4 linked regions of the Struthio camelus genome follow. The protein of the gene in region 2 purifies or fractionates together with the protein of the main gene of each other region. This does not show direct contact. Links are inferred from orthologs where the notes say so. Each region holds a gene or a part of one and is shown on either strand. Other genes may lie near its edges. The genes, in order: PHF12, RBBP7, ARID4B and CUL4A.

The links.
Region 1: the proteins of RBBP7 (region 2) and PHF12 purify together in Homo sapiens (affinity purification with mass spectrometry; 5 studies listed by BioGRID and IntAct, counting the BioPlex papers as one, with this or other methods). This does not show direct contact. The link is inferred for Struthio camelus from reciprocal best matches to the Homo sapiens genes RBBP7 and PHF12.
Region 3: the proteins of RBBP7 (region 2) and ARID4B purify together in Homo sapiens (affinity purification with mass spectrometry; 3 studies listed by BioGRID and IntAct, counting the BioPlex papers as one, with this or other methods). This does not show direct contact. The link is inferred for Struthio camelus from reciprocal best matches to the Homo sapiens genes RBBP7 and ARID4B.
Region 4: the proteins of RBBP7 (region 2) and CUL4A purify together in Homo sapiens (affinity purification with western blotting; 4 studies listed by BioGRID). This does not show direct contact. The link is inferred for Struthio camelus from reciprocal best matches to the Homo sapiens genes RBBP7 and CUL4A.

The regions. Positions count from the first base shown.
Region 1 is NC_090957.1:16,782,469-16,790,110, forward strand, and holds the start of PHF12 (PHD finger protein 12), read right to left. Parts: upstream 3,016-7,642; 5' UTR 2,899-3,015; coding exon 2,833-2,898; intron 2,453-2,832; coding exon 2,271-2,452; intron 1-2,270. Other genes in the region: SEZ6 (seizure protein 6 homolog), read right to left, coding at 5,138-5,170, 5,303-5,405, 5,493-5,613, 6,581-6,619, 6,707-6,904, 6,982-7,173, 7,286-7,480, 7,551-7,642.
Region 2 is NC_090942.1:138,747,008-138,754,078, reverse strand, and holds the start of RBBP7 (histone-binding protein RBBP7), read right to left. Parts: upstream 3,010-7,071; 5' UTR 2,781-3,009; coding exon 2,765-2,780; intron 2,351-2,764; coding exon 2,206-2,350; intron 276-2,205; coding exon 133-275; intron 1-132. UniProt on the Homo sapiens protein: Core histone-binding subunit that may target chromatin remodeling factors, histone acetyltransferases and histone deacetylases to their histone substrates in a manner that is regulated by nucleosomal DNA.
Region 3 is NC_090944.1:89,169,032-89,176,686, reverse strand, and holds the start of ARID4B (AT-rich interactive domain-containing protein 4B), read right to left. Parts: upstream 3,011-7,655; 5' UTR 2,698-3,010; intron 2,598-2,697; exon of another isoform or gene 2,370-2,597; intron 1,532-2,369; 5' UTR 1,476-1,531; coding exon 1,470-1,475; intron 1,457-1,469; coding exon of another isoform or gene 1,456-1,456; exon of another isoform or gene 1,318-1,455; intron 1-1,317. Other genes in the region: GGPS1 (geranylgeranyl pyrophosphate synthase), read left to right, coding at 4,023-4,078. UniProt on the Homo sapiens protein: Acts as a transcriptional repressor. May function in the assembly and/or enzymatic activity of the Sin3A corepressor complex or in mediating interactions between the complex and other regulatory complexes.
Region 4 is NC_090942.1:156,807,769-156,815,530, forward strand, and holds the start of CUL4A (cullin-4A), read right to left. Parts: upstream 3,010-7,762; 5' UTR 2,925-3,009; coding exon 2,744-2,924; intron 2,652-2,743; exon of another isoform or gene 2,583-2,651; coding exon of another isoform or gene 2,492-2,582; intron 2,147-2,491; coding exon 2,031-2,146; intron 1-2,030. Other genes in the region: PCID2 (PCI domain-containing protein 2), read left to right, coding at 4,591-4,626, 6,043-6,132, 6,715-6,788, 7,584-7,649. UniProt on the Homo sapiens protein: Core component of multiple cullin-RING-based E3 ubiquitin-protein ligase complexes which mediate the ubiquitination of target proteins. As a scaffold protein may contribute to catalysis through positioning of the substrate and the ubiquitin-conjugating enzyme.

The sequences.
Region 1 (7,642 bases), on a different chromosome or scaffold from region 2:
AAGAAAGCAGAATATGGGCCAAGCTTGAGGTCTTCTGGAGAAGCAGCCTATCCAACAGCATGCAGCAAGCTTGCTGCGCATTCCAGGCTATGCTGCTTCACACACTGGAGCTTGGGTTACTGCTGACCATCCAAATGCTCATCCAAGAGATATTCCAAGAAAGGTAACAAAGTGAGAAAGAATAAGCAGAACTGTGCCCCCTCTTCCTATTCTGAAAGGTGACTAATTAGCCAAAGATATATACATATATTTTAATACAACTGACTCGACCAGAGCATAGCCAAAGCTTTACAAACGTCTGATTTTCACGACCATTTCCTACTTACTAACACAAGAAACTTGTCAAATTAAGTCATGAAATTTAGCCAGATTTAAGCACGCGCAAAGTGGACTCATTTGCAGCTAGGATTAACGAGGATACAGAGTCAACTAGCAAACGCTATACCATTAGTCACAGCGCTTCCATCTCAAAATCTAAACATGAAGTTTTAGCAATCACTCTAGCCTCAATTAGAGAAGGCTCAGAATGTGTTTCCATTTGACTTTGACAGCATCTGAAAGCAAACACCAAGTTTTAAGCAACTATGTCCTGTACAAGAACAAAACCTTAATTAAGGCCTATCGAAAAAGTCAGACAAAAAATATTAGTGATCTTTCAGCAAACGTTAGAGAACATATACTACCACCAGTAGCACTTCCTCAGGGTAAGAGGGATGATGTCATGGCTGCACAGTAGAGCACTGTTGGGTAAGTCTAGCTATACACTGCTAACGGGACACTCCCTGCAGAACTGTGACTGCACATTCAGTTTTCCTGGTATCAGTAATCAGTTTAATAAGTGTTCAGAGACCTGCAATTAGCATATAAGCAGAGTATAAACACCAAGCAAAAGAAAATAAAAAAAATAAAGAGAGGAGACAGCTGTAACAGGGTAGCAAACAAAGCTCCAAAGCATGGAAGAGAGAGAGGAATGCGGTTAAAAAATCTCCCCTAAGGAAGAATACTCTGCACTCCCGAGCTCCAGCTGTTTGACTTGCCCCACTCCCTCCTCCACTCCATTATCCGCTCTGGCTGTGCTAATTTAACACAAACCGCCAGCCTGTGTCAACTGTTGAACAAGAGATACGGGTAAGGCGGCCTTTGATGCATCTGGGCTCCCGATGCAGAAAAGAGAAAACTTCAGGGTGGAAAGTTCAGGTGCTTTTGCCAGGTTGCTTTGTGCTATTAGCTTGAGAAGCTCGGAGGCAAGGCACCGAGAGTCCTCCCCGCTGCAGCCTCTACCATCCTCCCCACTGCAGCCTCTACCGACTGCTTTGCAACCGCCTCTACTGGCACCTCCAACACAGCCCCGAGATTTGCATGCAAAAAGATCTGCCTTTATCAACAAAGCCACACAGCTCCAAGCAAGAAGACCCAACTACTCTGAATTCACAGGAGTCACTCCCGTGGATGAGACAAGCAGGTCTGAAGCGTCAGGAGGAAGGAAAAAAGGAGGGAAAGGAATAAACCAGGCCGATTCTAAAGTCTGGAGCCCTGGATTTACACAGGGAAGGTATTTTCACATTTCAGATCCTCTGGGAGCACTGCGAGGGTTTGGAAGTCGTATTTGCAGCCAAAATGGCGCTGAGAATAAAAATATAATTTAAAGGAAGGTCGCCATATTGTAAACAGTGAGGCAGGGAGACACAGAGACAAGCAACCTCCATTATTCCCAGCAGCTGCAGCAGCACGGAAGTGCTGGGAACGTCAGGCCTGGCGCAGAGACGCGACCGCAGCTTCCCCCTAGCCGCGACCCTCCAGAGGCCCCCCAAGCAATGCACCCTTTGAGAGGGGTGAGGAGGGGAAGTTAACTGCTTGCGGGGTGGAAGGCCTGGTGCGGGCAGTATCAAAGCAGCCAGGCCGCGCAGCTAGCAGCCTCACTTCTCCTCTAGGCCTCTCAGCCACTGCTCAGCACAAAAAGAAAGGAGGATCACAGCCCCCAGCAATGCCTGGGGTCGCAGTCCCCAGCCCCTAGAGAAGGCAGCGCAGTGACTTTTCACCTCAGCTGTTCCAGATTAATCACTTCTCACGGGGACTGAGCCGATTGGGGTTTGCACCTCCTTTTTGTTCCTGCCTGGTGCGCCGGGCCCCGTTTTCCCCCTCCCCGTGCAAGGCATGGATCTAACGGGAAGCAGGAGCTGCCGGCGGTGGTGGTGCAGCCCTGGCTAGAGGGAACGCGCTGCCTGGGCTGGGACACCCAGATCCGGAGGGAGATAAGTGCCGAGCCTTACCAGCACTGGAGGTGGAAAGCAGCGGGGCAGTGATCGCAGCACAGCAGATCCCCTCCTTCCTTGCAGCTATCGCAGCTATCATGGTTAGTGGCCCTGCCACTTCGCCTGGGCTCCTTCTCGGGCCTCCTGCTCTTCTTTTCCCCATCTTCGCTCTTGGGGGGAGCCAGGAGGGCTTGGATTTGCTGCACATGCACACACACAGAGACAGAGAGGGCTCTGAGGGGCTGGGCCGGACCCTGACCCCGGGTGCCCTTCTCCGAGCCGGCCGCCGGGACGAGAGGGCCTTGGGCCCGCCGGGGAAGGTGCGTGTGGCGGTGGGGGACAAGGCCCCGGCCGGGCCCGCCCGCCGCCGGCCCCGCGTCCAGCAAGGCCTCTGCCGGCGATTGGGCGAGCCGCCTCCTTCCCTCCGCGCTTCCTTGTATGGCCACGGGGCTCCGGGCCCCTCTGGGGGGACGGCAGGGGGTTGGGGGGGGGGGTCCCTCGCCATTTTGCAACCCCACGTCGTCCCTAGCCGGGCCTGCCCGCCCCCCTCCCGCCCGCCGGCCCCGCGGCCGGGCCTCACCTCCATGAGCCCCCCGGAGGTGTCCAGGTCGTAGACGATCGTCTTGGTCTCCATCTTCTCCCACATTCATCCAGCCCGGGAGCGGCCCCGAGAGCCCCCCCACCCCGCCCCGCACCGGGCAGAGGGGAGCGAGACGGGGGCGGGCGGCCCCTCAGCGGCGGCGGCGGCTCCCCGGGGTGGGGGGGGCGGCGCGGGCGCGGCGGCGGCGCGGGGCCTAGCCCACGGGCCGCTGCGGCTTGCCCGTCCTCCTCCTCCTGCCGGGCCCGGGGGCGGCTGCGGGGGGCCCCGCGCCCGCTGCCATGCCGCGCAAGGCCGGGGGAGAAGGAGGGGGAAGGGGTGGGGGGGGGGGAGGACGGCCCGGCGCGGCCCCGCTCCCGCCGCCGCCTCGCGCACACGCCACACACGCACGCACACACTCGCGCGCGCGCGCACACGCACCGCACACACACACACACACGCACACACACAGAGGCGGCGCCGCCGCCGACGCTCAGGGCCGCGCACTCCGCGCAGGCGCACGCCGCGCCGCGCCCCGCCGCTCTCCTCCTCCTCCTCCTCCCCCCTCCCCGCGCCCGCCCGCCTCGCGCAGGCGCGGCCCGCGCCCCGCTGCCGCCGCCGCCGCCTCCCGCTCTCGGCCTGGCGCGGCGGGGGAGGGGGAGGAGGAGGAGGAAGAGGAGGAGGAGGAGGAGGACGACGACGACGACGACGACGCAGGCGCCGCCACTGCGCAGGCGCGGGGGGGCCGCGCCTCCTCCCGTGCCCTTCCTTTCCCCGCCCCTCCTCCTTTCGCGCCCCGCGTCCCTCCTGCGCAGGCGCGCGGGGCGCCGGCGCGGCGCAGGCGCGCGGGAGGGGGCGCAGGCGCGCGGCGGAGGCGGGGCGGGGCGGCGCGGCCGTGAGGAGGGAGGGTGGTGCGCGCAGGCGCGTGGCTGTCGTCACGTTCCGGGCGCGGCGGCGGCGGCGGCGGCGGCGGCGGTGGGGGGCAGCGAGGCCGTGGGGGGGAGCGAGGCCATGGGTGACGTAACGGGGCGGGGTCCGCAGCGGGCCGGCAGGGGGCGCGCGGCGCGCGGCGTGCCGGCGGGAGGGGCGGGGCCCTGCCCGTGACGTCATTTCCGCGGAAGCCCCGCCTCTTAAAGCTGTCACGCACCGAGCTAGGGCGGGGGAAGGGGGTAGAGTGGAGGGTGCGGGGTTTAGGGTGGGGTGGGGTCGGTGTAGGGGACAGGGAGCCGGGTTTGGGGGTGCAGCGGGGCAAGGGGGAGGGAGTAAGGTGAGGGTCAGGTGCAGGGTAGGGGTGCAGGGTCGGGGTCAGCATGGGGTTAGTGGGGTGCAGGATCGGGGTCAAGGAGGGGTGCAGGGTGGGGGTCAGCATGGGGTGCAGGGGGTTAGTGGGCTGCAGGGTGGGGGTCAAGGAGGGGTGCAGGGTGGGGGTCAGCATGGGGTGCAGGGGGTTAGTGGGCTGCAGGGTGGGGGTCAAGGAGGGGTGCAGGGTGGGGGGAGTCTGGGGATGCTGGCTGAGGGGGTACTTGGGGGCACGGGTGTGGGGGGGGGGTCGGCGCGAGGTGCACGGCTGAGCCTGGGTGCTGGCGGGGTGGGGGGAGCGCTCCGGCCAGCCCTCGGCCCCAGGGAAACACGCTACTGCCACGTTTTCTTCTAAAACACCATTTTTTATTAATGAAACGACCAAAAGATGGGGGGGGGGAGGAGGGGACCGGGGGGGGGTGGAATTGCTCTCCAAAAGGGGATGCACAGCTGAGGATGGGACCCTGTCGTACACCGGCCCTGTCCAAAGCCTCAGCCGCGACGTGGCGGCGGGGGGCAGAGGGGGGTGCAGAGGTGGCCGTGCCCGGCTCCCCCTGCCCACCCCTCGCCCGGCGCCGGGGCCCGAGTGCTGCGTCGGGGGGCACGGGGGGTGGGGGGCACCCCGCCACGCCGCGGCGAGGAGCCCCCGGCCCCGGGCAGCCGTGTCCTTACCTCCGGGCTCCTGGCGGCTGCGCTGCCCCCGGCCGGCCCGGTGCACCCAGGGGTCCCGTCCGCGCCCCCCCCACCCCGGCTCCTCCGCTGCGGCATGTTATTCCCATGCGGGTGCTGAGGGGCAGGATGGGACCCGCCGGCCCGGAGCGATGCAGGGCCCCGATCCGGTGGTGAACGAGGTGTCACCCCGGAGGGCAGCGGCCGTGCCGGGGGTGACAGCGGGGTCCCCCGGCGGGCTCCGGCCGGTCCCTTGGCGCGGGGGTCTCCGCGGGCGCAGCGGGGGCCGAGGAGGGCCGGCAGCGGCCGTGCCCGGCTCTCCTCCGCCTAGATGGACACCTCATATTCTCTCGTCTCCTGCAAAGAAAGCAGACTGCAAGGGGTTGGACACGGGCCAGCGCTGGGGGGGGCCGGGCAGGGGGCACCCCCGCTGCCCGAGCCCCCCCGGGCACGCGCGGCCGGGCCCCCGCTGCCGCTGCGCGGGGCGCTGGGGGCAGGGGCTTACTCCCGTCTCGTAGGTGGGGTTGTCAAACGCCGCCTCCACCGTGATGTGGTCGTAGGGGTGCGAGGCGGCGAGGGGCCGCTGCAGCGCCCGCTTGCCCCGGAGCCTGCGGCGACAGAGGTGGCTGGGGCGGCCGGCGGGCGCGGGGTCCCTGGCGCGTCCCCCCCGCCCCCAGTGCCGCCCCGGCGCTCACTTGGAGAAGTAGAGGTAAACGCCTCCGCCGAGCAGGGCCACCACCAGCACGGGCAGGAAGACGGCGACGGCGATGTTGGTGCCTTCCAGCGGCTTCCCCGCCGGCATGGCCTTGGCCACGGCTGGCCGCGAGAGAGGGGGCTCAGCGGGGCCGGCTGCACCCCTGCGGGGCCGGCTGCACCCTGGCAGGTCCTGCTGCACCCCAGCAGGGCCCACTGCACCCCTGCAGGTCCTGCTGCACCCCAGCTGGGCCGGCTGCACCCCAGCGGGGCCCGCTGCACCCCAGCGGGGCTGGCTGCACCGTTGTGGGTCCTACTGCACCCCAGTGGGGCCCGCTGCACCGTTGCGGGTCCTGCTGCACCCCAGCGGGGCCCACTGCACCCTGGCAGGTCCTGCTGCACCCCAGCTGGGCTGGCTGCACCCCTGCAGGTCCTGCTGCACCCCAGCGGGGCCCGCTGCACCCTGGCAGGTCCTGCTGCACCCCAGCGGGGCCCGCTGCACCCCAGCAAGTCCTGCTGCACCCCAGTGGGGCTGGCTGCACCCCGGCAGGTCCTGCTGCACCCCAGCGGGGCCCACTGCACCCTGGCAGGTCCTGCTGCACCCCAGCGGGGCCTGCTGCACCCTGGCAGGTCCTGCTGCACCCCAGCGGGGCCCGCTGCACCCCAGCTGGGCTGGCTGCACCCCAGCGGGGCCCGCTGCACCCCAGCGGGGCTGGCTGCACCATTGTGGGTCCTACTGCACCCCAGTGGGGCCCGCTGCACCGTTGCGGGGCCGGCTGCACCCCTGCAGGTCCTGCTGCACCCTGGTGGGGCTGGCTGCACCCCAATAGGTCCAGCTGCACCCTGGCAGGGTCCCCTGCACCCCAGTGGGTCCCATTGCACCCCAGCAGGGCCAGCTGCACCCCAGTGGGGCCTGCTGCACCCTGGCAGGTCCTGCTGCACCCCAATAGGTCCAGCTGCACTCTGGTGGGGTCCTCTGCACCTCAGTGGGTCCCATTGCACCCCAGCAGGGCCTGCTGCACCCCGGCGGGTCCCGCTGCACCCCGGCGGGTCCCGCGCCCTCCACCACCCGCCGCTGCGGCCGCCTTACCGTCCAGGTTGCGATTGCTGTAGAACTCATCGTAGGAGGCTGGGGGAGAGAGAGGGGCGGGTGAGAGGAGCGGGGCGGCGGGGGGCCGGCGGGGCGGCGCGGGCCGGCGGGGTAGGGACCGCTCACCCGCTTTGCAGATGGGGGGCGAGCCGCTCCAGCGCGACGGGTGCCCGGGCAGGCAGCGCAGGCTGCCCTCGCCCAGCAGCACGTGGCCGGCGGCGCAGGAGAAGCGCAGGGCGGCCCCCGCCGGGTACAGCCGCCTCTCGGGGCTCTGCCGGCCGTGGGCGGGCGCCCCGGGGTTGTGGCAGGGCTCGTAGGCCTCCGCTGCGGGCAGGAAGGAGAGGCGGCCTCAGGGCGCGCTGCCGGCCGCCCTGCCTGGCCCAAGGGGCGAGCACACTCACGGATGCACTTGGGCAGGCGGTCGCTCCACTTGGGGCCCCCGGCGGCGCGGTCGTGGCAGGTGAGGAGCCCGGCGCCCGTCAGCACGTAGCCCTTGTCGCAGACGAACTGCAGCGTGGCCCCCACCGAGAACTTGGGGCTGGAGACCACCCTGCGGCTGTGCTCCACGTCGCCGGGGTCCCGGCAGGACGTCACTGCGGGCGGGAGGTGCAGCCGGTGACGCCGGACCCCCGCCCCCCGGCTGGGGACACCCGCCGCGCGGCGCAGCGACGACGCCGGGGCACCCCGGGGTGGGGGGCCGCTCACCGCGCTCGCACGCCGGCAGGTCGCCGCTCCACGTCAGGTCCCAGTGGCACATGAGGACGTCGGTGCCGGCCAGCTCGAAGCCCGGGTAGCAATGGTAGGTCACCACGGTGCCGTGGATGAGCTCCGGGTGCGAGGTCGTCTTCCAGCCGTTGGGGATCTCGGGCAGCTCGGGGCACGTGTCGTTGCGGGGCACCTCTGCGGGCAGAGCGGGGTGAGCCGGGCGCCGGGCGGGCGAGGGGCGCCGTGCACCCGCCGCCGGCCTCACCGTAGAAGTGGATGACGAAGCCCTGCTGGTAGCCGAAGACGCCGGTGCCGGGGTCGGACTGGAACTGGATGGTGACGTCGGCCGTGGAGGCG
Region 2 (7,071 bases):
AATGATGCAGAATTAGCGTAAAGTCGTAAGTATGTCAGCTTTACTACACAAGATCAAGTTAGAATACCATTGGACAGGACATTTGTTAATACTACTGCTAGAACACCATCTAAAAACGCATGCAGAGCCCACCTCCTTTTTCACTGTCATACTGAGAAGCATCAAATTGATCATCATTGGGAATCTGGACTCTTGCAACAACCAGGTGGTTCTGTTCATCAGAGGTGTGTGTTCCCAAAACCAGCCAGTGTAGAGCATAATCCTTTCCTTCTGGCCTGTTTAGAGTAATAAAAACAGAATAAAATTAAAGAGCTCATTTCCAAAAGTTTATTGGTTAGTATCAGTAACCCTGAAGATCCAGACTTCTGCAGGAAGATTTAAAAAAGTAAAACAAAACAAACCCACAGAAAACAAAAATATTCAAGTACGAGATCCCTTGCTTTACCACAACAGACTTGTGAATTAATAAGTGAACTAAATTACCTGACATAAGCAAGCCAAGGATACATCCAGCAAGCCAAGAGTGACAATATAAGTCAACAAACACTGCCGCTATTGCTCGAATAGGATAATTAAAGTTTGCCTAGTAATTACTCCTATTTTTAATTCTCCTTGCAATCTCATAGTATCAATTTGGAAGACAAGCAATACTATGTTCTATAAAAAACAAAACCCGAGAAAAGCAGCAATCTATTTCAGTTACTTTCCTTTCAATATGCTTTTACCAGTTGGTATTTTGTTACAGTTTTCAGAAGTTGATTTTTAAACAGTGCACAAACCCTAGCTAACTATAATTAAATTCCTTTTGATGGTTAAATGCAATAGTTAGTAATAAGTGAAAGGTCAGAGAGACGGTGTCATATATCTGAGAAAGGAAAATTGGAACACGCAAATAAAAACAAGCAACTTCTGCGTTCCTGAAAGCAATAAATTAATTCTGCTATCTGAACCCAAGCAAAGAGGAAATAGGAATCACGTGGGCAATCAAAAAACATCATCAGTATTATTACACCTATTCCAGGGCATCACCATACAATTGGGGCGAGGGGGGGAAATAAAATAAAAAACACACAATGCACACACACTTACTTGTATTAGGAATAGGTGTCCCATCATGTCAGGTGCCATACAAAGAGACAGTCCTTGCCTTATATGGCTTACATATTCTGACACTGGGTAATTGGAAATATCAGGTTTTTAACTGAATATTAAGTCAATCTGCAAAATATGAGGCAAGCAGAAGTGTTCCTCATAAGGGCTCCATACCCTCAGAAAAATTCCCCATTTCATTTTCTCCATGCCATGAATAGTTAGCTCACATCTCTCCACATCTTCCCCAAACGTCCTGGCATTCAAAATTAAGTGATCACCTAACCACCACATATAACGCCACTTATGCAAGTGGAATTTTAAAGAGGAAAAAGATCATCCTCTTTTTACTGCATGAACTTTAAGGGTAAGATTTTAAAGCCAAGCTGTATCTGTGATACAGCAGCATGAGGGACCCACACCTGTCCATTAACTTTGTGGAGTCCTGAGTGATTACTCTGAGAATTTAAGTTTTCTAGTAGCTGGGACATCAAGAGAATCCATCTCTCTCTTAAAAATTCTTTAAGAAATTAACCAGCTACCCAACAAACTTTTAGGGGGAGGGAGAAGAATGGGAAAGTTAAGTTATCTGAGGTCAACGATGCCAGGGACAGAAGCAGGATATTAAGGGCCACAGTCTCTACCGAGCAACATCCCCTTAAATTTGGCCAGACCCAAAAAAAAAAAAAAAAAGTGTATCTTCTACAGAACAGTAATTGGTAATGCACATGAGGAAAAATATTATTCATGTAAAAGTTTAGTAAGTTTGTTCTTTCTCTGAATAGAAGCTACTGCAGAACAGCTAGGTCTCTTACATATCAATAAAATAAAGTAAGGAAGACTTCTTCCCTGCCGTCTCAAGGCAGATCTTGCTGTGTCAGGCTAGAGCTCTCTACAGTATCAATATGTACCTTTTTTTCCCCTTCAAAGCTTCTGTCTATCCAAAGGGTTTTGAGAGCTGTAAGTAAAATGAACTGTTACAAGCTTACTGCGAGACGAGCCTAATCCACATTATTCTAGTCTCTTGCGGTTTCACCTTCCAATTACCTAGCAGACACCGCGAAGAGCGACCGAAAGAGCGGCAGGACAAGCAAGTTCTCTCTCTCCTTCCCTCACCTGGTCACGTCAGGCAACCACTGGACGGTGAGGCTGGGCCACTCCAGGGCGTGCGTCATCACCAGGTCGTACAAGAAGGGCGTGTTCTTCTTCCAGATCTTGTACTCCTCGCTGATGACGCGCTCCTCCACCGTGTCCTCCAGCGCTGGGCGAGGGGCGGCGGGGGGGGAGAGGGGGAAAAGCCAACGGCTCAGCGCGCGCCGCGCCAGGCGGGGGCGGCGCCGCCACGCGCCGGGGGCTGCGCGGGTGGGGGTGGGGGGAGGTGCCACCGAGGTGGGGTGGGAGAGGGGCGGTGCCCGCCACGCGCCGCGGGGCTGGGCGGGGTGAAGGTGCGGAGAGGGGCCCCGAAACCCTCTTGAGGGGCAACCGGAGGCAGAGCGACAGTTACCCCCCCCCCCGCCAACACCGCCCAGCCAGAAGGCCCCCGCGAGAGAGGCCGCGGGTGCCTCCGCTCGCGCCCTCCCAGCTCACGCACGGCCGCCCCACGCAGCCCGGGCAGCAGCAGGAGGAGGAGGAGGAGGAGGAGGAGGCGGGGTGGTGGGGGGGGGTGCTCTCCTACCTTCCTTGCTCGCCATTTTGGGCGTGTGTGTGCGCGCGCAGGCGAGGTGAGGGGCAGGAGGTACCGGCTAGCGGCGGGGAAGGGGGGGAGGGGGCACAGCTCGCGCCGCAGCTGAGGACGCGGCGGCGCTGCCGCTGCCACGGCCGCGGCCGCTCCCGCGCGTCAGGCGCCCCGCCGATGCCCAACCCGCGCCTGGCGGCGGCGGCGGCGGCACCGCGCATGCGCTGCCGCCCCGCCCTCTCCGCGGCGCCCGGAACGCCGCCACCCACCGCGGCGGCCAATGGGGAGGGCGAAAGGGCTGCGCGCGCGCGCTCGCTCGCTCGCTCAACGGCTGGCGCGAGACGGGGCTGCGAGTCCGGCCGGGGCGCTCCGAGGAGGCGCCCCCTCGCTCGCCCTCCCGCCTGCGCGCGCTGAGCACACGCGTGGGGCGGGGCGGGGGTGGGCGCCCGGCGCCTAACGGTCGGAAGCGCGCGCCGGCGCTCTGCGACCCCTTGAATCCACTGCGAGGGCGGGCGGGGCGGGAGAGGGCAGGGGGCTCTTGGCGGACGGACGGCTCCCAGGGGCCCTGGGGCTTTTCGCGGCCGGCTGACACGCGCCTCCTTGTCCAGGAAAGCGCTTGGACTCGGCCCAGAGCCCGGCTCCGCGCTGGCAGCGGGCAGTCGCTACGCCCAGGCGTGCCCGTGTCACGGGCGGGTCCCCCGGCGTTACTGAGTGGGTCGCGGAGGGCGAGGAGGAGCCAGGGTTTCACGCAAGTGCGCGGCTTTTTATTCAGAAGAAGGTTAAGATTGGCGTGGACGTGTATATGCCGCGAGGTGGGGCCTTAAGTAAAATAAACCGCCGACGGTACTGCTGTGCGAGTTGGCAAACGGCTTTTGTTGCTTTTTAACCGCATTTAAAGGCGTTACAGAGCAACCTGCCAGTTCGGTTCAAAAGTTGCCTCAGAACATCTAAAACAAGCTGAGTTCATCCTGCGGAGACATATGAAAGGAGCATGCTTTAAACGCAGGGATTTGGTGTTCATGATCTGTTCACCAAGAGTTTGGAATTGCTAAAAAAATACAATTTAGAAAAAGGACATCTTGGCTGCCGAAAAGCCCCTATACCGAGCTGTTCAGAGTCATGCATAATGCAGAGTAAGCACGGTAGACCTCCCGTTTAATAATAGGTTTCGCCACTCGGACAATACCCCGAGGGGACGCCTGGCGCACAGTTTTGAGAGCCACGCGGTACCCCTGCAGTAATTGCAGGCACAATTACTGCAAAGAGCACAAGCACCTTCCCTTTTGATAACAGAAGAACGAGCGTGGGTATTGCCAGAAATCAAAATGGGAAGCACTCCCCTCAGTAGCGCTGTAGAGGATCAAAGTACCCAAGTATTATTCACAAACGTGATTTACACTGATCTTCCGAGGAGAGGGGTAAACTAAAAATTCGAAATTCTGGAAGTATTAAAATCCGTACAGCACTCAAGAGTAGATGAGGAATGAAAAGACTATTATGGCTCTCTTCTTTATACTACCTTATTTGTTACTGCAACGCTAAGGCAGAGTTACCAAGTGCGTAATCGCTGATTGCACATGGGAAGTAGGAATTGGGAAACAGAAGTGATAATGGTACTTAACTCATTTGTCAGTTTTCATGAATGCAACTCTGCACAGATCCGGAAAGGAGGAACAGTGCAGTGAACGAGAAGAAAAATGAAAACAAATGGACTCTTTCTAAAGAAATACCCAAAATACAAGATATTCCCTTTTACCAATCAGAAACGGTAATCTAGTCATAAAAGGGGAAAAAACAGCCGACATATTTAACATAAGTTAAAAAACAATCTCAGCCGGAATGAAAACCAGACATTAGTCTTATGTAAGCCAACAGAGGTAGCTGAAATCGGGAAGCCACGGGATTAGAGGGCATAAAGAAGAAGAAGGGAAAGACGCGGGGTGGGGGGGGAGATGTGCAAGACTGCGGTGTGCAGTTCGGCGGGCCGAGCAGGAGGTGGCACTACTGTCACACCGGGCAGCCGCATGCGGGCTGCAGAGCCAGGCGAGGAAGGAGGTGGTCTCAACTCCCTGCACAAGAAGCAGGATCTGACCGCGGAAGTTTCTTTGCTCGGTGTCGGTTACACCCTATTCTGGTCCATGCTCCAGGATGTATGTCTATTTGGGGCGATGGTAGTAAAGCGAAAATTTCTTGGAGATCCAGCAACTATCAGGCGGCCTCTATACATTTGAAACAAACTTAGGTGCAACAGCAAAGAATGGTGGTTGACGTCATTTAGTATGTCTTAACTAATAAGCCCTAAATTGCACTACAAACTCAGATACTAAGCCCACTTCACAGCTCAGAAAATATACGTAAAAATGGCTATAGAGACCACTGCTAAATAGTTACTATTTTTCAACAATGGCGCCTGAAGATATGTTTTTTTTATTTTGCTGCAAGAAATACCTGTTTGAAAGTTTGCTGAGTTGCAATAAAGGCATGCCAATAAACTAAGCCGCATTCTTGACTTCCCACTCACATAATATCAGTCAGGATTACAGAAGTTTTAAATCCTACAGCTGTCTGTTAGGGTCAGAAGTATTGTCTGTGGTGAGTGACACAGCTTCTTTTAAGCAGTCACATACAAATCAAATGTATGGCTTTGCCAGGACATGCCCAACCTTTCTAGTCTCTTCTCTTGTTTCAGCGAGTACTAACCAAAAGGCCATTTCATTTAACTGCTTTCTATTAAGCTTGAATAAACAGCACTTGGCATATAAAATAGCCTTAACCAGAGCAGATCTTGAGGGCAGTTAATAGCACCTTCCAACAGAATAATGGAAATAGAGGCAGTTAGGAATCAGGCTAAATTCTCCCAAATGCCCCTAAAAAATCAGAGGAACGTTCTGCTTCCACATTGCATGAGTTCTTTTATCATGTGGTGACTTAAAGTCTTTAGATCAGTGCTTTGATATTAAACTCAGGAAGCAGAATCCTATATTGGTAAGGCCTTGAGCCCCAGAAGGGGCTGAAATTAGCTCTGTAGCGGAGATCATTGTGCTCAGCTAGCGATATTGTGGCAAGAGAGAAGGCTTACTTGCACAGCCAAGTAAGAGCCAGGATTTTTATATTCACTCTGTGAGGAACTCCTCATGGACTGAGCCCTCTATAGTCTGGACTCCAGTGTTTCAAAGAAGGAATCCAGTTATGGAAAATGTTTATGTCTAGGAGAGGCTGGGGAGCGCAGAGGCTAGTAACAGCAGCCAAAGGTTGTAGCATGGGAATTGAAGGAGAAGGCTGGAGTAGACAGCCAGCTCCTTGAACAGGAAGCGTTTGTAATGAACCGTTCCTTTATGGGCCAAAGTGCTGAAAAACAGAAATGTTCTGGTGAAGAAGCCAAATAACCATATACTAATCTTCTTGAACCTGCACAAATTGGAATTAAAGCTATGTATGGCTTACTTATTGAAAATGAGAATTCTGTTGAATTAATTGGAAGCTGCAGAATAATCTGCTACATAGGAATGCACTAGTGAGTATGTTAACACAGACATAGGACCTTGATCGTACAAGGTGAGTTACCAACTTGCTTTTGGCAACACTTATTAGTTGTTTTGATATCTGCTGCCAAGTATGTGTCTAAACCTACAAAGTGCTGAGGCCTTCCTGAAATGCTGGGAGGGTGAAGATTGAGCTTTTCAGAGCCTGTGTGGTGGTGCAGAGTGCTGATCTGTTAAAACTCAGATACTGAATAAAGGAAATCTCTGTCAGGCTTCTTGGCTCTAAGTGAGTTCTGTTAGCTCTTGATGAAATTTAATTACATGGCCCCTTGAAGGATCAAGCCGATCTGAGCATTGGGTGGGATATTGTGTGTGCATTTGGCTGTGAACAGCAGTGGTTTTCCACCACGGCTTACCTGGAATATAATTGGCAAAGTGTGATTTATTTTTGGAGAAAGGTAGACAAAATTGTCTTTCAGTGATGTAATGTAGGGCTTGATTAAACTCTAAATTAAGAGAGGAAAGTTCCCCCTTCCCCCTCCCCCCCCCACCAGTTTTGGAAGACTCAGTTGTTTAGACTCTGCAAGTCAAGTTGCATTTTAGTGGACTGTGAGGAGCAGTACCAGTTTTGATGAAAAAAATCTGTTACACCTATTTGTCAAAATAGTCCCTAAGTGACCTGTGCAATTATCTTCTCCTTTGTTAGCAACTATACTTGCACACAGCCAAATTTTCTTTTAATTTATATGCAAACACACCAACAATCTTGCTATTAAGTGCTTTTCGCCTATCAAGATTGCTATGGAAAAGACAGTTTATAAACAT
Region 3 (7,655 bases), on a different chromosome or scaffold from region 2:
ATATTAGAAATGTACGTAAATTTAGCTGTCATTTAAATAAGTGGTTTTGCTTGTGGGGGAAAATAGCTCCATATACTGCCTCCTATTTCCTTTGCTTCCATCTCCTGCATCCCTGCTAGGCAATGGGCCACAGCTGAGAAGCTCCGTATCATACTACATTGACAGTCCGTTGTTTGTAAATTCATAAATAGTTTACTTCTAATGAGAAAGATGTGTGCAGCATTTTAGATCTTAACACTTACTAGAGAGAAAGCAGAGGAAGGGCACTTAAAGCAGGACTGTTTTTCCTAAGATATTGTCATTAAGTCACCAAAGTAAGCAAAACAGGCTGAACCTTTAACAGCTATACAAAGGCCCAGTTTGCTACTCTTAGTAATATCATATCAATCTAGAAATTAAAAAGTCTATATCATCTACCATTTCCAGCAGCGAATACAGTACAGGGTACATATTTTACATAATACACAAACTGATATGCAGTAGCACAACTCTGATAGTGCAAGATTCCACATACATACTGCTCTTTTTATTGATGAATACCAATGACCTGATGCATCATAGCTTCATAATCATCATTTTTGGTAAGGTTTATAATATTTTGAAACAAGATTCACTGCAGCCCAGCATAGCCAGGATCTGGATTACACAACCTGGGGGTCAGGGTAATATAAAAAGCAGCTCAAGCGAGAAATCAGCAGCAAAATGACAAAAGGACTAATAATCTCAGTTCTTAAAAACTACTTTTAGGTGCATGGTTCTTTGCCATACATAGAAGAAATCATTTTATGCCACTGATTTTTTTTTTTCTATAAAACTTTGTCCAATGTATCAAAAAGCAATGGTCCAGAAAGGCCTAAGAGAAGAAAAGTGCACTCACTTTGTGACAATTTTGTATGTGACTAGTACACGGCACTGAGAAGAAAATTAAAACCTGTTTGAAAATCTTTTTGCACCTTACAGCAATCATTTCGCTGCAGAGAATCTCTTACATGCTCCCTTCCTGATCAGATCAGGATCACTCATTCAACAAAACTCCTCTTAATGAAGAGAAGGCAAGTAAATCTACCATTTACCCTCTATTCAGAGAAACACGGCTGTGTGGCCAGCATTTCCCCTGCAACATTACTTTCTCAAGCTGGGCGACTGTCCCCTGTTCCTCCATGAAGCAAGCTCAGCCCAGGCAGCCATGTCCTTATTCTCCTACAAACAATGTTTCTGAAGGAGAACAGCCCTCTCTCAGCGAACTTGCACTTTCCCCAGCAAAACGTGGTGGAGCAAAACCCGCCCCACGAGCAGCCAAGGAGCGGAGGCACTAACACAGCATTGGGGCGAAGCAGCCCGCAGTCTGGATCCGCACCAGCGCCGAGCCTCGCACCGGGGTCGGGACAGACGGACTGACAGCCAGGACGGCATTTCTTCACGTAACCTTGCCTCCCCTCCCCTCCCAGACATACAAGTGAGTGTTTTACCTTCATGATGAGCTCAGGCTGCGGTAAAAGCCTCGATCGGGGCTGAGCGGCCGAGGCTGGACCTGGAATTTAAAACAAAGCACTGAGGCACCGCACCAGCCGCTCGCACCGGGCGGGGGAGGGGAGGGGAGGCCAGGATCGGGGCGGGAGGGGGGGGGGGAGGCCGGGCTCCTGCCGAAACTCCCCCTCGCCTCCCCCAGAGCCCCCCGCTTAGCCCGCTCCCCTCCCTCCCCGGCCACCGCTTCCCCTCCAGCTCCCGCACGCCGCGGCTTCCCCTACACTCGCTGCCATTGACGCCATTTCTGTCAGAGGAGGAGAAACTTGCCACAACAACAACCCACCCCCAGCCTCCCCGGCTGCCGCGGGGGGAGGCGGCCCCGGCTGCCTTCCCGGGGCGCTGCGCCCCCTCCGCGGGCACCGGCAGGAGGCCGGAGGGGCCCGAGCCCCGGGCAACCCCCCCCCCGCCTCCTTCCCCCCCCAACCCCCCGCTTTGCCGCGGGGCGCCGGAGAGGGGGAAGGAGGAGGGCGGCAGGGGAGGAGGGAGGCTCTTCCTCCATTGTACGAGGAAGAGGAGTGTTTGCCTGCGCCGTGGGGCAGGGAGGGTGTCGTCGGGGGCAGCCCCCCACCTTTCCCCTTCCCCCGCCACTCTCACGCTTTTGCAGGGGCTGCGGCTCCGGATCGCGGCGGCTTCCCCCCCCCCCCCCCCAAAAAAAAAATAAAGGAAAGCGCTGACTCCGCGGCAGGAGTTTCAGCAGCAACAGCCGCAACTCCCCAGCTCGGCGCAGCGGGTCGGGGGGGGGGGGAGGGACGCGGCGGAGGGGAAGAAAAGGAAGAAGAAGAAGAAAAGAAGGGAGTGGGAACGGGGAGGGAGGGAGGGGGGCGGGGAGAAAGGGGCCCGACCTGCTCAGCGGGGACACGGAGCCTCTGCGTGGAGGAGGGGGCTCCGGCCCCTGTCGGCAGGCGAAGGGGGCTGGAGGAGCCGCCGGTCCCTCCCGCACGCAGGCGGCACCCGATCCCCCTCCCCCCCGCCGGGTGTTTGGGGGGAGAGAGAGAGAGAAGAGAAGGAGGATCGGCGAGTCCCGCCGCAGTCTCGCTCCGAGGAGAAAAACAACCGCCCCCCTCCCCCCCGCACGCACGCCCGGCCGCCGCGGCCCGGCCCCGCGCCCCCCCCCCCCGCGCCCGCCGCCGCCGCCGCCCGGCGCCTCTTTCTCCGGCTCGTCGCTGTTACCTTTGTTCCGCGGCGCCCGCCCGCCCGCTGCTCCCCCTGACCCGAGGCGGGGGGGAGGGACGGGAACGGGGCGAAGCCTCCTCTCAGCTCCGGACCCCCCTCGCCCGGCCTCGGCCCCCGGTCAACGCTCCGGCAACGGCTCTGGTAGCGTCTGCTCCGTGCTGCGTGTGGCGGGGTCGATCCGTCCGGCTCGGACTCGGCGGTGGCGGCGGCGGCGGCGACGGCGGTGACTGCTCGGCTCGGAGCCTCTCGGTTCCCCCTCCCCCTCCCGCACCGACTGACTGACGGACGGACAGAAGGGCGGGAGGGAGACGGACACGCCCCTCTCCCCGCCTCCTCCATTGGGCTCCAGCCTGCAAAGCCCCTCCCTTCCCTCTGCCCCATTGGCTGCCGCCTCGGAAATACTGACGTCATTCTTCTCCAGTTCTATGGAAACTGAGAGTCGGCACCGAGAAGACTTATGGGTGCTGCTGCTTTCCCTCGCCGCTCACCAGGGCTCGAGAAGCGGTTTGGCACACGAGCCTGACTACATATCCCAGGACGCACCGCGGGAAGGGGCCGTGAGGGGACGGGGCCGAAGCCGAATGCTAATTAAACCGGGGGCGGAGCTGGCGCCTGCGCAGTGAGGCTCTGGTGGCGCATTTTCCCTCAAGAGGGGGGAAGGTGGCGCCTGGCGAAGCGGAAGGGGGCGGTGCTTCGAGCGTCGTTGGTGCTGCTGCTGCCGCCGCCGGCGCCACTCCTGGCGCGGGCCGCTCGGGGGAGCGGAGCGGAGCGTGGTGCGGCTCCGACTGGCGGCGAAGAGGAGGTGAGCGGCGGTTGCTGGGGCTGAGGCCGCGTGCGAGCGGCCGCCCGCGGCTGTCTCGCGCCGCCTTCGCCGACCGTTACTGGTGGGAGGCGGCTTCGCTGCCCGTGACCGGGTGTGTGGGGCGGCGGGGGAGGGGGGAGGAGAGCAGGCTGTGCTCGTCAGAGGAGCCGGCGCTTCCCACTCCCCTTTGGAGCGGGGCTCGGGGCGGTGAGGGCGAGCCCGGCTGGGAGGGGAGCGGCTCTCGCGGCCGCCCCGCCCAGGAGGGGCTGGCCGGTTGCCTGGAAGGGGCCGGGAAGGGGCTGTGAGCAGGGAGGGGGGCCGGAGCCGGCGGCTGCGGCCGCCGTGCGGGTTGGGCGGCGCCGGTGGCGTCGCGGGCTGCCTGAGCGGCCGAGGCGGGCGGCGCTTCCCTGCCCGGCGACTGAGCTCGGGCTGCCGGCCGCGCCGATCAGAAAATGGGGATGGACGGCGGGCAGGGGGAGCGAGGAGTCCTCAGCGCGCTCTCGACCGTGTCTTATCTAAAATGGCGCTGGTGGTGCTGAGCTGCCCACTCCTGGGTTGTGGGAGCGCTTCGGAGAGGTTCTGCAGCCTCCTTTGCGTTTACAGCGCTCGCATCAAACTCTGAAAAATGAACCGTGCCGCCTTTGTTGCGATTATGATGGGGGAGGGAGGGTTCACGCATCTGTTAGCAGGGTAACAACTTCATGTTCTTTGCGAAATGCGACTTTTAATCTGAGAAGCGATTCTGCAGTAGGCATGACTCTGGTCTCTGCTGGTTTGCTTTCTGTGTTTGGATCAGCTGATAACTTGCACTCTTTCTGTCTGTATGCTGCCACCACTTAAGTGTGGGGACTTCAGGAGGCTGGTTCTCTTCCTCTTGCTGCTGTGTCGTTGTTACTCAGTTGTACCGGGAGATATTGCTGAAATTGTGTTTCCATTTCAACACGATGTTCTAGCTGTTCTGGTGTTGCAGGGCTAAAGTGTTAAATTGCAGCCATGAAAAGACAGTAATTTAGCTGCTTTTTTTGAGGATGCCTTACAGCCATTGTTCAACCTGTGGGATGTTGCCTACTCTAAGTGCAATATGGTTTTGTTCAGTATCAGTCCAGGAAGTTCTAACAAGAACTCTTCTAGTTAGAATGAGAATGTGAGCTAGGATGACAAGCATCCTGTCCAAATCCCAGTTGGATTAGGAGCCTTGATAGCCTCTTCAATTCAGTGTGCATTCACAACAGTATCTGTTTATTCCTTCTGAAACAGACTTTCTCGCTCCTACTTCCCCCTGTGTTGGGGCTTTTTTCCTTGGTTACAATGAAACCAGTGTCCCAGTGAACCTCATTCTGTGATGAGGCTGATTTAAGAACTTTCTGGGTGGTTGGGTGTTTTTTTTCAGTGCAGTTCACTGCTCCTTTGGTGGCTCTGTTTTATTTTCTGTGCAATTGTGTTGTGAATGGAGCCCTTGAGATGAGGCAGCTTTTTTTAAAGAACCGTTTTCTGTTAGGTGTATATGTAGCCTGGAACACTTTGGTCATCTTGCTTATTTCACCAATTGGAGCTGAGGACAAGGGCAGAGAATATCCTGCGGAGTGGAAGGGATGGAGTGAGAAGCTGTTTATGAAGTTCAAAAGTGAAGATTTACTGTAAGTGCAACATAGGTCTAATGTTACTTGCCTCCTTTGGAAAGCTCCTATTTATGGATCACTGCTTCAGTAATTATCTCTAGTAGTTCCAACTTCTGGAAGCCCATACTGCTGTTCTTTTCTAGCATCTTGTGTGTTTTCAGTGAGATCATTAAAGATAAAGTATGTTGCAGTTCAAAAGACAGTTCTGTGGGTTCTGTCTCGTCACGGCGTGGATTGTGCCTATAGCAGCTGTTCTACAGTATGCTTATATGGAGCTGCTAGAAAAAATTCAAAGCTTTGTGTTAATTGACATGCAGGAAGTGTGTACAGTTTGAAAGAAAACTGAACTAAGCAAAATTGCCTTAACTGCCTTAATTTTCTGAATAAACCTACATGCAAGATTGCCCTTCCACCAATAAAGGCTTTATATTCCCTTTCATTTATTGTTGAAGTTCTTGCAGCTCTACTTTTTTGGGAGATGTTGACTGAGATCTTGTCTCAAATTTTCTTAAATGAGAGGACTTTTTGTAGCAGTGTAACTTTTATAGTAAGTTGATCAGCTGCCTAAGTGAAAAATCCTTAATATCAATAACTTCCTGTGGTGTGTTAAATGTAGGAATTTTCTGCAAAGAGCAGTGATGTTACTGCTCTCCGTCTTCTCTCATGCTTCATTATATTCTTGCTGATCAGCCTTTAAGCGTCTTCATTTACATATTTCATCAGGTGTCCTCTTTCTTATATAACTTTGGGGAGTTCTAGTCACTATTCTTTTTTGCTGTGTGTGTTAGACAAGTAGTTTTCTTATGAATGATTAGACTGTTGCTTTTTCCCTTAGCACAGGTTATCTACCATTTCATGTAGAGGTAGCATAGCAGCCTAGAAAAGCTTAGCTATGGTAATTTAAGCTAAGTCACCAACCATTATTTGTCTCTTAAAGTGTTTTTCCTTATGTCTGTCTTGAAAAGGAAGAAATCTAGGCCCTTGTAGGGAAAAGTGTCTGGCTAACTTTCTGTGGATAAGCAGTGTCTCAGAAACTAATATAGGAGACTTCTGTCAGTTTAGCACTAGAAGGCTGGGGATTTAGTGGTGTAATACCAGCCTATTTCAAGCTAGTTAAGGATCTTGAATGCTGTTTGCCTGTCCTACAGACAAGAAAGAAACCTTCTCATCCTCTGAGGGAAGAAGAAGAAGAATTTCAAGGTTTACTTTCAAGCAGTTTGTGTTGGGAAAGACTTCAGTCTTAGCATGCATTTAAGCATAAAAGCATTTACTGTGCATGCTCATTGTAGACTGCTTTTCTAGCTATGAGAAGCCTTGACAGAGAAGAAATTCCAACCTTAGCATCTCTCTCTTTAGCTCTGTGGGTAGCTAAACACTTCCACTTCTAAGCCAGCTGTGTGGCTTTTTGGTGATAATAGTCATAGGAGATGTGTTAACTTGGTTAGTGCCTCCTTCTGTCTTTCGCTACAAGTTTCTTTCTGGTCAAAATATCTGACGATGGACTGGGATAATCTTTTTGGTTGTCCTTCCTCACTGAAGAAGTTTGAGGCTTGCCCTTTAGGTATGAGGGTGCAGTTTCACAGCTGACTTCCTCAGTGGCAGTGCTGGCTCAAAAGCAGTTCCTGTCCCTTCAGTTATACCAATAAGATGACACAAAAAGAGTTGTGTTAAGCCTGACTTAGATTATGGTGTGGCCTGACAGTCAGTTGTGCTGGTACACCATGAGATGGAAGAGCTGTACCACTTATTGTGGCATTGCTGATGAAAACCTATGCAAAGCTTTCCCAAACGGCATGGTCTTATGAGTGTTTCTTGGGCAACTGTGCTTGCTTCAACAGCCTCTTGCCTCTGAAGTTGCAGTGTGGTTTCATGTAGTGAACCAAATGAAGGAACTGATCTAGACGTAAACTTGGAAAATAATTGTTCGTGTGAATTATTTCCCCAGTTTGGGCTGCTACAAATATTTATGGGGCAGGAGGGTGGGAATGGGAGTAGACAGGGACTGAATAAGCTGCCACTGAAAGGGAAAAGATGCTGAAATGCTGAGGAATGCCAGTTGGTCCAGGTGTCTTAAGAGGAAGCAGTGATCTTAATGCTAATCCTCTGAATTGTTGAGGGGAAACTACATTGCTGGATTATTTTGAGCAGGTGTGGAAGAGTTTAGCCCACTGGTGTTAACTGCTCCCTTTAATATAGCTATATTAAAAATGTCTCTGTCCATACTTAAAGATGTCACTTTAAAGCAGTTCTTGTGTTGGTAACTTATAATATCATTCAGTTGCTGCAGAGGGAAAAGTACATGCTTTCCAAGATGCTTGCTAAATAACTGAGAAATGATGCTGAAATAGCATGAGAAATTTTATGCTACTGCTGCAGTTCCTGTCTTAAAATGACATTAGAAGAATTGTTTTGAGCTGCTGCATCTGCAGTGCAGCAAGGAACGCTAGAGGTGAAAGGAGAGGAAAATCTATTACAGAAAACCGCCTGAAAAGGGTGGGGGGAAAAAAGCAAATATAGGTGCTAAGCTATGTGAG
Region 4 (7,762 bases), about 18 Mb from region 2:
CACTTGGCATTTCTTCCTACTGCCTCACTTTCTCTATCTGATCAAACACAAGCTACCTTTATCAACATCTTTGCAAACTACCACCAGTCCCAGGCACCATTTCTATTTTAGTAAAATAAAATTACCCATCACCCTCCGATTGCTCTCTGACTATATCTCTGCTAAGCACCTCCATGCTTTATCCCATGCTGCTTCTAATGCTTGGAAAGGAGTATCCTTCAGACTTCCCAGAGAGCCTCATCATTGTTCTTCAGTCTTTCTTCAGCCACCATGCCAAATTAGATAGATAAATCAAGAAGTTCAAAAGCAGGCTGGCGTGAGCCTTGTAGGCCTCTCACTTCCTCTCATAACGTCAGATAAAGGCACACACAAAAAAGCCCTGGTAGTAAAAAGAACTGATACACACACAAAAATATTCCCCTGAGGACTCTGTGCTCACCATCAAGCTGTTAAAAATGAACTGTAAGTACAGATCAGGTTTCCAATAGATGCTGTACTTGGTCTTTTATTCTTCTGGCAGGAGAGTACGTACATAGGCAAAGACACACTCACATCCACTACCTGCTGTACCAGAACCTTTCTGGTTTGCACCTCTACCTGACATACTGGCCTTACAACGTGCAGTTTTTGCAAAGGAGCATGCAAGCCGAAAAAGCAAGAAATAGAGTTTTCCCTTCGCAGTTTATCTGAAATCTCTCTCTTCCTCTTCTGCCAGAACTCAAGTCTATACCTTAGTGATTTCATACCCATATCACTATAATCTCATTTCTGAGCTTCTGAAAACAAGTTAGGCAAAATTCAAAGCATCTGCATGTTTTTGCCAGGCATGAAAAAGCAGGATTTTTCACGTGCTGAGTTTAAAACCATAAAATATGTTATGTAATTCAAACTCTGCAAACTCGTAAGGAATAATAGATGCGGAAATCATGGTCAAGTGGTCCTTTTAAAAGCACCAAATTATATGAAGACAATATGGATTTATTTAATCACCCATTTTACACCCATATATTAAATACCTTAACTAATCGTAGAGTCCAATTTATGCTGACTTTTTGAGTATGGCCTCAGTGTGGACTGGATTTCTCTTCCCTCACAGTCTATGCTTTCCAAACTCCAAACCTACCTCTGCTGAGCATTTAAAAGATTTTTCATGGCAATACTGATGTCTTAAGTCTTGATCTGACAATGAGATCCACATCTGCAGATCAAACATCTGCACCAACAACAAACTCATAACTAACTTCAACTACATAGCACAACCTATTGTATTAGCAGTTTTTTGATAACACGATTATTGTAAAAAAAAAAAGTACTAAAGTGGCATATCTCAAAGCACATACATTTACAATAATATAAAACTACATCATGCATAAATGGAGAAAACGGTGAGGAAGAAATGGCTCATGCCCATTTCTTTCTTTTACCCTTCCTATCCCCTATCCCGTGGTTTAGATGTTCCAGCAATAATTTTTCACCATTTTAACACAAAAATTTAAGACATCAGTTCTTTTGAAAATACAACAGTAATGTGAACCAGAGATGAAGGGATAGTTTGTTGCCTACTCAATTTTAATTCCCCAAAATGTATTGATGACGAAGCCTAATTATTATTATAGCCAATATTTTAACATTTAACAAATATTTTAACATTTAGTATTCACTAGAGACTAAAGCACACGTGGAAGAGAAATCATCACAAATTATACACCTGCATAACGAAGCGATGGTAACATCCAATTTTCAGTATCCTGACGCTTAAAACGTCAGCCCTGCCCAGACGGAGCCTCCCAGGTATCCCAAAATAATTTGCTTTTTCACGAGCTCAGACCCTGGTAGTTTTCCCAGGACCTAAGAGCCACTTTTCTACAACAGTGAAAACGGGCTAGAAACAATACCAAGAAAACAGTCCGGGACATCCAATCCACTTCTAACTAATCAAGACACACCACGTTAAACCTGTAGGTCTCTCCAAGTCCCAAAGCAGTTAACGCTCTGCCTGTTACAATAACCATAAACACTACGCATCTTACCTGGTAGAGCTCTTCAAGGTTGTACTTAATAGAAATGCTGCTCTGTATTGCTCCCACTGCTTCGTGAAGTTTTTGCCATGTGTCCTGAGTATAATTATCTGGTAATTTGGGTCTTTCTGTGGGGGGGGGGGGGGGGGGGGGAGAAGAAAAAAAAATTATACAGGTAGTTGAAAACTAACCAGCCAAGGAACGGCTATCCGTAGCAATCTTTCTCAACGCGCTTTACTCATTTCCCCCAAAGGAATTTTTTTCTGTGTGACCGCTTAAGCGTGAAACAACAATAACAAGGTGGCCGCCCCCACGCGCAGGGCAGGGCAGGGCAAGGCCACGCACCCGCGGCCGGCGCAGCGGGCGGACAGCCCACCCACCCCCCCCCCGGGCACGGGCTCCGCGCACCCAAGCGCCCACCCTGCCCGCCGAGGGCCGCTGGCACAGTCGCTGCCAAAGTTGTGAAAACACACCCGAAGCGTCCGAGGTGTTGACGGGCCCCCGAAACGCTCGTCCGCTCCGAGGCGGCGCCACCCGCCCCACCGCCGCCGCTATCGGCGACATGTCGCCCCTCGGCGGGGCGCCGCGGGGAAGGGGCGGGGAGGCGGCCGGGCCCGCAGTAAACAAAGGTCGGGAAAGGGCCGGGCGGCGGGGGCAGCGGCCCTGGCACCTGCCGCGGCCCCGCCCGCCCCGGGGCAGCGCCGCGCCGCGGGCCCCGCACCCACCTCTGAAGTTCTTGATCACGAGTTTCTTGGAGGAGGCGGTCGCGCTGCCGCCGCCGCCGCCACCTCCTCCTCCTCCTCCTGCGGCGCGGGCGGCGGCGGCGAGCGAGGCGGGCTTGGTGAGCCCGTTAGTGTGGCCCACCAAGGCCGACAAGTGCGGCTTCTTCTGGGGCTCGTCCGCCATCTCCGCCCCGGGCGCCGTGTCCGGCCGGGGCAAGGCGCTGAGCTGGGCTGGGCTGGGGCCGGCTAGGTCCCCGCCTCCGCTCTCCTCCTCCTCCTCCTCCTCCTCCCCCACCGCTCCGGCTTCCCGGCCCTGCCCGCGGGCGGCTGCCAAGTGCCGCCGGGCCGGGCCGGCCCTCGCAGGGGGCGGCGGCACGATCCCCGCTCACAAGATGGCTCCCGAGCACGCCGGGCGGCGGCGGCGGCGGGCGGGGGGGGGGCGCCGCCATGGCCGCGCAGCCCCCCTCTGCCCGCGCAGGGGAGCCGGGAGCGGAAGGCCTGCGGGGGGTAGCGGGGGGTCGGTTAGCCCAGGTAATCCTTCCGAAGGGCCTCAGTTCCCTGCGCTGCCTCTGGCTTTTATTTCGTGGCGTTTGGCACAGGGCTGCACCGTGCTTTCTAAGGAACCGGCTGTTTTTCATGCCTCGAGTTATCTCGCCTTCGGAGCTCTGAAAGCAAGGCAGTTTCAACAGCTAATGCTCAGTTTAGCTTTTTTTTTTTTTTTTTTTTTTGACCCACGCTTATACAGCCCATCCTTGCAGGCAGCGTTGCTCTGGAGGGCACAGCCGTTAACGACCAGAAAGGGACAACAAACGTTGAAAAACTAAGGCCACGGGCGGCAGGGGGGGGGGGGGAAGGAGACCGTTTCCCCAACAACACACCTCTCTGCTATCGCTAGGACCCAGGCTAAAAGGTAACACGAACCCGGGAAGCTAAACGCGACTGCGTGCCTAGCAGAGGGAGGATATGGACCCCTTCTACCAAGCGCTGTGAGAAAAAGGGCAAACAGGAGCCGGGGCCGCCCGCCCTTCACCGCTCCTGTTACCGACACCAACCAGTACGCCAGCCCCTACGCGCTCCTATGGCCACGAGCACCCCCCGCAGGCTCCGCCCCCCACGAGGTTTACCCGCTGACGCGCGGCCTCGGCACCGCCCACCTCGCCTCCCCATTGGCCGCCGGGGGGAAAGCCACGCCTCCCGCCCCTCGGGGGGTGGGGAAGAGGAGAGGCAAGTGCCGTCCCGCTGAGAGCAGCGGGAGCCGGGGTGGCGTTACGTGATCCCTTCCTCCCCGCCATTCGGAGGGCCGGAGCGGTGTCACGTGGGCTGCGCGCGAGGCGGTCGGTGTGCCGGAAGCGCCGTGGCGGTTGCCGGAAGTTGCGCGCTGCGCCGCGCCCTGGCTTGAGGCTGGGCCTGCGGTGAGGGAGGGCCGGGCCGGGCATGGCGGAGGTGCCGCCGGGGGCAAGGGCGAGGGCTGGAGGTGCCGGCGGGGACGTGCTGGGGGATGCGGGCAGCAGAGCAGTCCAGCCGGGCGTGTCCGTGCGGCCGTCGGGGCTTTCCTCCCCTCCCGGCGCTTCGGTGGCGCGATTTCCCCCTCCGCACAAGCTCCGCGCAGCAGGCGGGACGCGCCTGTGCTCTGCTTTGCTTTCCCTGAGGCTGCGTCCTTTCCCTAGAGGCCGGCAGCAGGTGCCGGGTCCTGAAAGACTGGGTAAAGTCGTACCGAGTTGCCGAAGGGGGAAAGAAGAGACCTAGTTGGGATTTTGTCACTTCGTTGTTCTCTAAATCTGCTGTTGGTTTTCAGAATGGGACACAACTGCGTTTAATCGGGGACTCCTGCGTCGTCTACTTCTATTTTAATGGCGCATATCACCATAAATCAGTATTTGCAGCAAGTAAGCAAGCTTTTTATTTGTGGGTACTATCAGAATATAAGGGCATGTGGAGGTTTTTTTTTTTTTTTGGCTGGAAATGCATTTTCTTGTTTAAGAAGTCAACCTAGAATGTGTAATGTGGTAAATAAATATACTTCTTAATGTTGTGATAAGTACATTAACTGTCTGCCAAGGATGTATTCCTGAATAGTGTGAGGACTACTGATATGATGGATGGTGAAGCAGTTTGTCCATAAGAATTAATGTGGTGGAATCGCATGTGTGCGGGGATTTAATAAATATACACAGTTTAAACGCAGAGACAAAGTGTTTGTGGCAGGAGGCTGCAGAGGCAGGAACAGGATCATAAGGATCGTCAGCTGGAGTGAATCCTCAATGTCAAGCTCTACAATTCTTGTTGCTTCTTTTTGAATGATCACGTTTGCATCACTGTTACCATATTCCTTTCTTGAGTTAGGGTCAGTCAAGTTAATTGAGTGAAGGAGAGAAAAAGTGAGTAATTTTTGTTGTTCAGCCTCAGAAATGAAGCAGTTGAGATCTCCCACAACAGTGATTTGCTCTGAAAAGTCAGCATCTTCTCTTGTTAACAGTCTCAATGATCTCTCCTCTCCATCCTCCATACCATATCTGCTGTGGAAGTACTTTTAGATATTAGTTGTTAAAATCCCCTTCCCAATTCCCATGCTTAATTTGTCATATTTTAATGTCTTGGTAGGAAAAATATCTTTACTATATGAAAAGCCTGTACTAAATCAGAACACTCATAGGCAAAAACTCATAGACTAAAACAGCAAGGAAAGCTGCAAAACTGAGGAGAGAACATAAAATCAACTGCTAACACTCTTCCAGAGACTGTTTGCTTTCAAGTAAAGGAGAATTAATATTATCTTCTGCAACTGGCTTTTTATTATTAAATACTATAAGTTCATATGAAATCTATTTGCAAGTCCTGATTGGTGACAGGACCAAATTACATCTGCAGCATCACAAACAGTAATGCTCAAAGATTTTTTTTTTTAATGGTTCACATATATATTTGGTGCTCATAAGTCCAACTGGAATTTTTAAAAACTTCGAATCTATTTCACAGCCGCTATCTTAAGATGCGAAACCTATGTAACTTCTTTTGGGCTTCTCTGATTTGGTTGTATCCTACAGAAAAAAAAAAACCTGTTTACTTCACCTTCTCTCCTGATAGCTTTTTGAAAACAATTAAAAGTAATTAAAACAATTAAAAGTATTAACAATACTGTACCGATATTGATTCCTTCAGTTTTAAACTTTTTAAAACTTACATTTGGGAAGGTGCTGATACGCATGAACAGTGATAACAAGGTAGCTTCCTTAGGTGTATGTAAATATGTTGTCTGGCTGTGGCTAGATTGTGTTCTGTAATATGTTTGTTTTCCTGGGTAGGTACAAGAAGCTATCGACAGCAGAGATGGACAATTTTGTGCGGAATTGGTATCATTTAAGCATCCACATGTTGCCAACCCTAGGCTTCAAGTAAGACTCTGTTATCCTGAGAAAATCTGTTTTTGGCCTTATTTTGTGTTCAGTTTTCCTCTCTCTCCATTGGGATTTCTTTCCACGGGGTAAAATCCTCAGAAATCTGCTTTACACCTCAGAGCAGGTTCCCCTTGTAGGTTTGTTCTCCCCTTTCTTTTACAAGTATACTATCTATCTGCATCTTTTCCTGGATGGCTTTTTGTCCTCCGTTTTGAATTGTTTTCTGGATAGGCGTTTTGAAGGCTCCCTGTGGCCACGTCTGCATGAGCAAGTGAAGTGGCACAGTGGGAGTGGATATGAAGATCAAATCACCTGGTCCTGAAGATCCAGTGCTTGCACTAAGTGTTTCAGAGGCTTTTATCTAAGACTAGCTCTAATCTGGTCCTGTGGACAGAGTGGACGCTAGCAGTTACATTGCACTGAGCGTGAGTCTTAGCATAATGTAAGGTTCTGGTAGATAGCAAAGGCATGCATGCGTAAGACTGCCATGATAAAATACCCTTATGATGTTCTATTTCTGGTGCAATGTCTGTTCTTTTAATGTTTCATTAATTTATTTTATATTTATTTTATACTTAGCTTCCATCTCCAGAAGAAAAGTGTCAACAAGTTTTGGAACCACCATATGATGAAATGTTTGCAGCCCACTTAAGGTAATGGCGGACCACGAATGGACAAGTCATTTGTGAGGCATGCTGTAGGGATGGGGAAGCATAGCCTTGAGTTTACTTGGTTATTTTAAAGGGCTTACATCTGAACATTTGGCATTTACTGCTCTTATAAACAGTGCTAGAATTGCAGGAAATAAAAACTTCTCTTTCTTATGTGCATAGACTTTGCTTTATGCACCTGACAGTCATCTGTATATAGCCCTTGACACAGCTTTGGGTTTGGTGCTTGCTATTTCATTTGTTCTTTTTTACTGGTTACACAGGAATTCAGAGTGAAATAAGGAAGAGAAAGAAATGTTGGGGGGGAGGGGGAGAGGGGAAGGAAATATTCATCCTAAACCTACTCTTAGGACAGCTGTAAGAGTCAAATAATTCTGCAAGGCTTTTATTTGAAAAAATTCAGTATTAACACTATCTTATTAACACTGTCTTATTAACACTATCTTTTAGCTCACTTTCCAAAGTCTTAGAATTTTTTTTTTTTCTAGGCCAGTCTCAGTGACAGTGTCAGTAAGCATTAGCTTATTACAGTTGATACTGTGCAGATTATAGAAATAAGGCCCTGTTCATCTCTCAGATCAGTTTTCCCCAACTGTCAAACTCGGTGCTCTATTAAAATGCTTGTGTCACTGTGTTAGGAATATTTCTAAAAAATATTTCTGTTTTTCTTTTACATAGAGTGTAAGGCTCTATACCTGTTAAAAGGCAAAAAAAGAGAGCGTTTGTCCGCAGGTATGGGACACTTTCTGACGTACTAATGTTCCTTCTGTTTCACAGGTGTACTTACGCTGTTGGAAACCATGACTTTATAGAAGCCTACAAATGCCAAACAGTTATTGTCCAATATCCTTTTCCATAAATCCCATACATTGTTTTCAGATGAATTTTATGCTTTCTTTTGTAGTAAGTTATCCTTACCTTTTTAGTTCTGATAGAATGTATTCTGCTTCCAAATA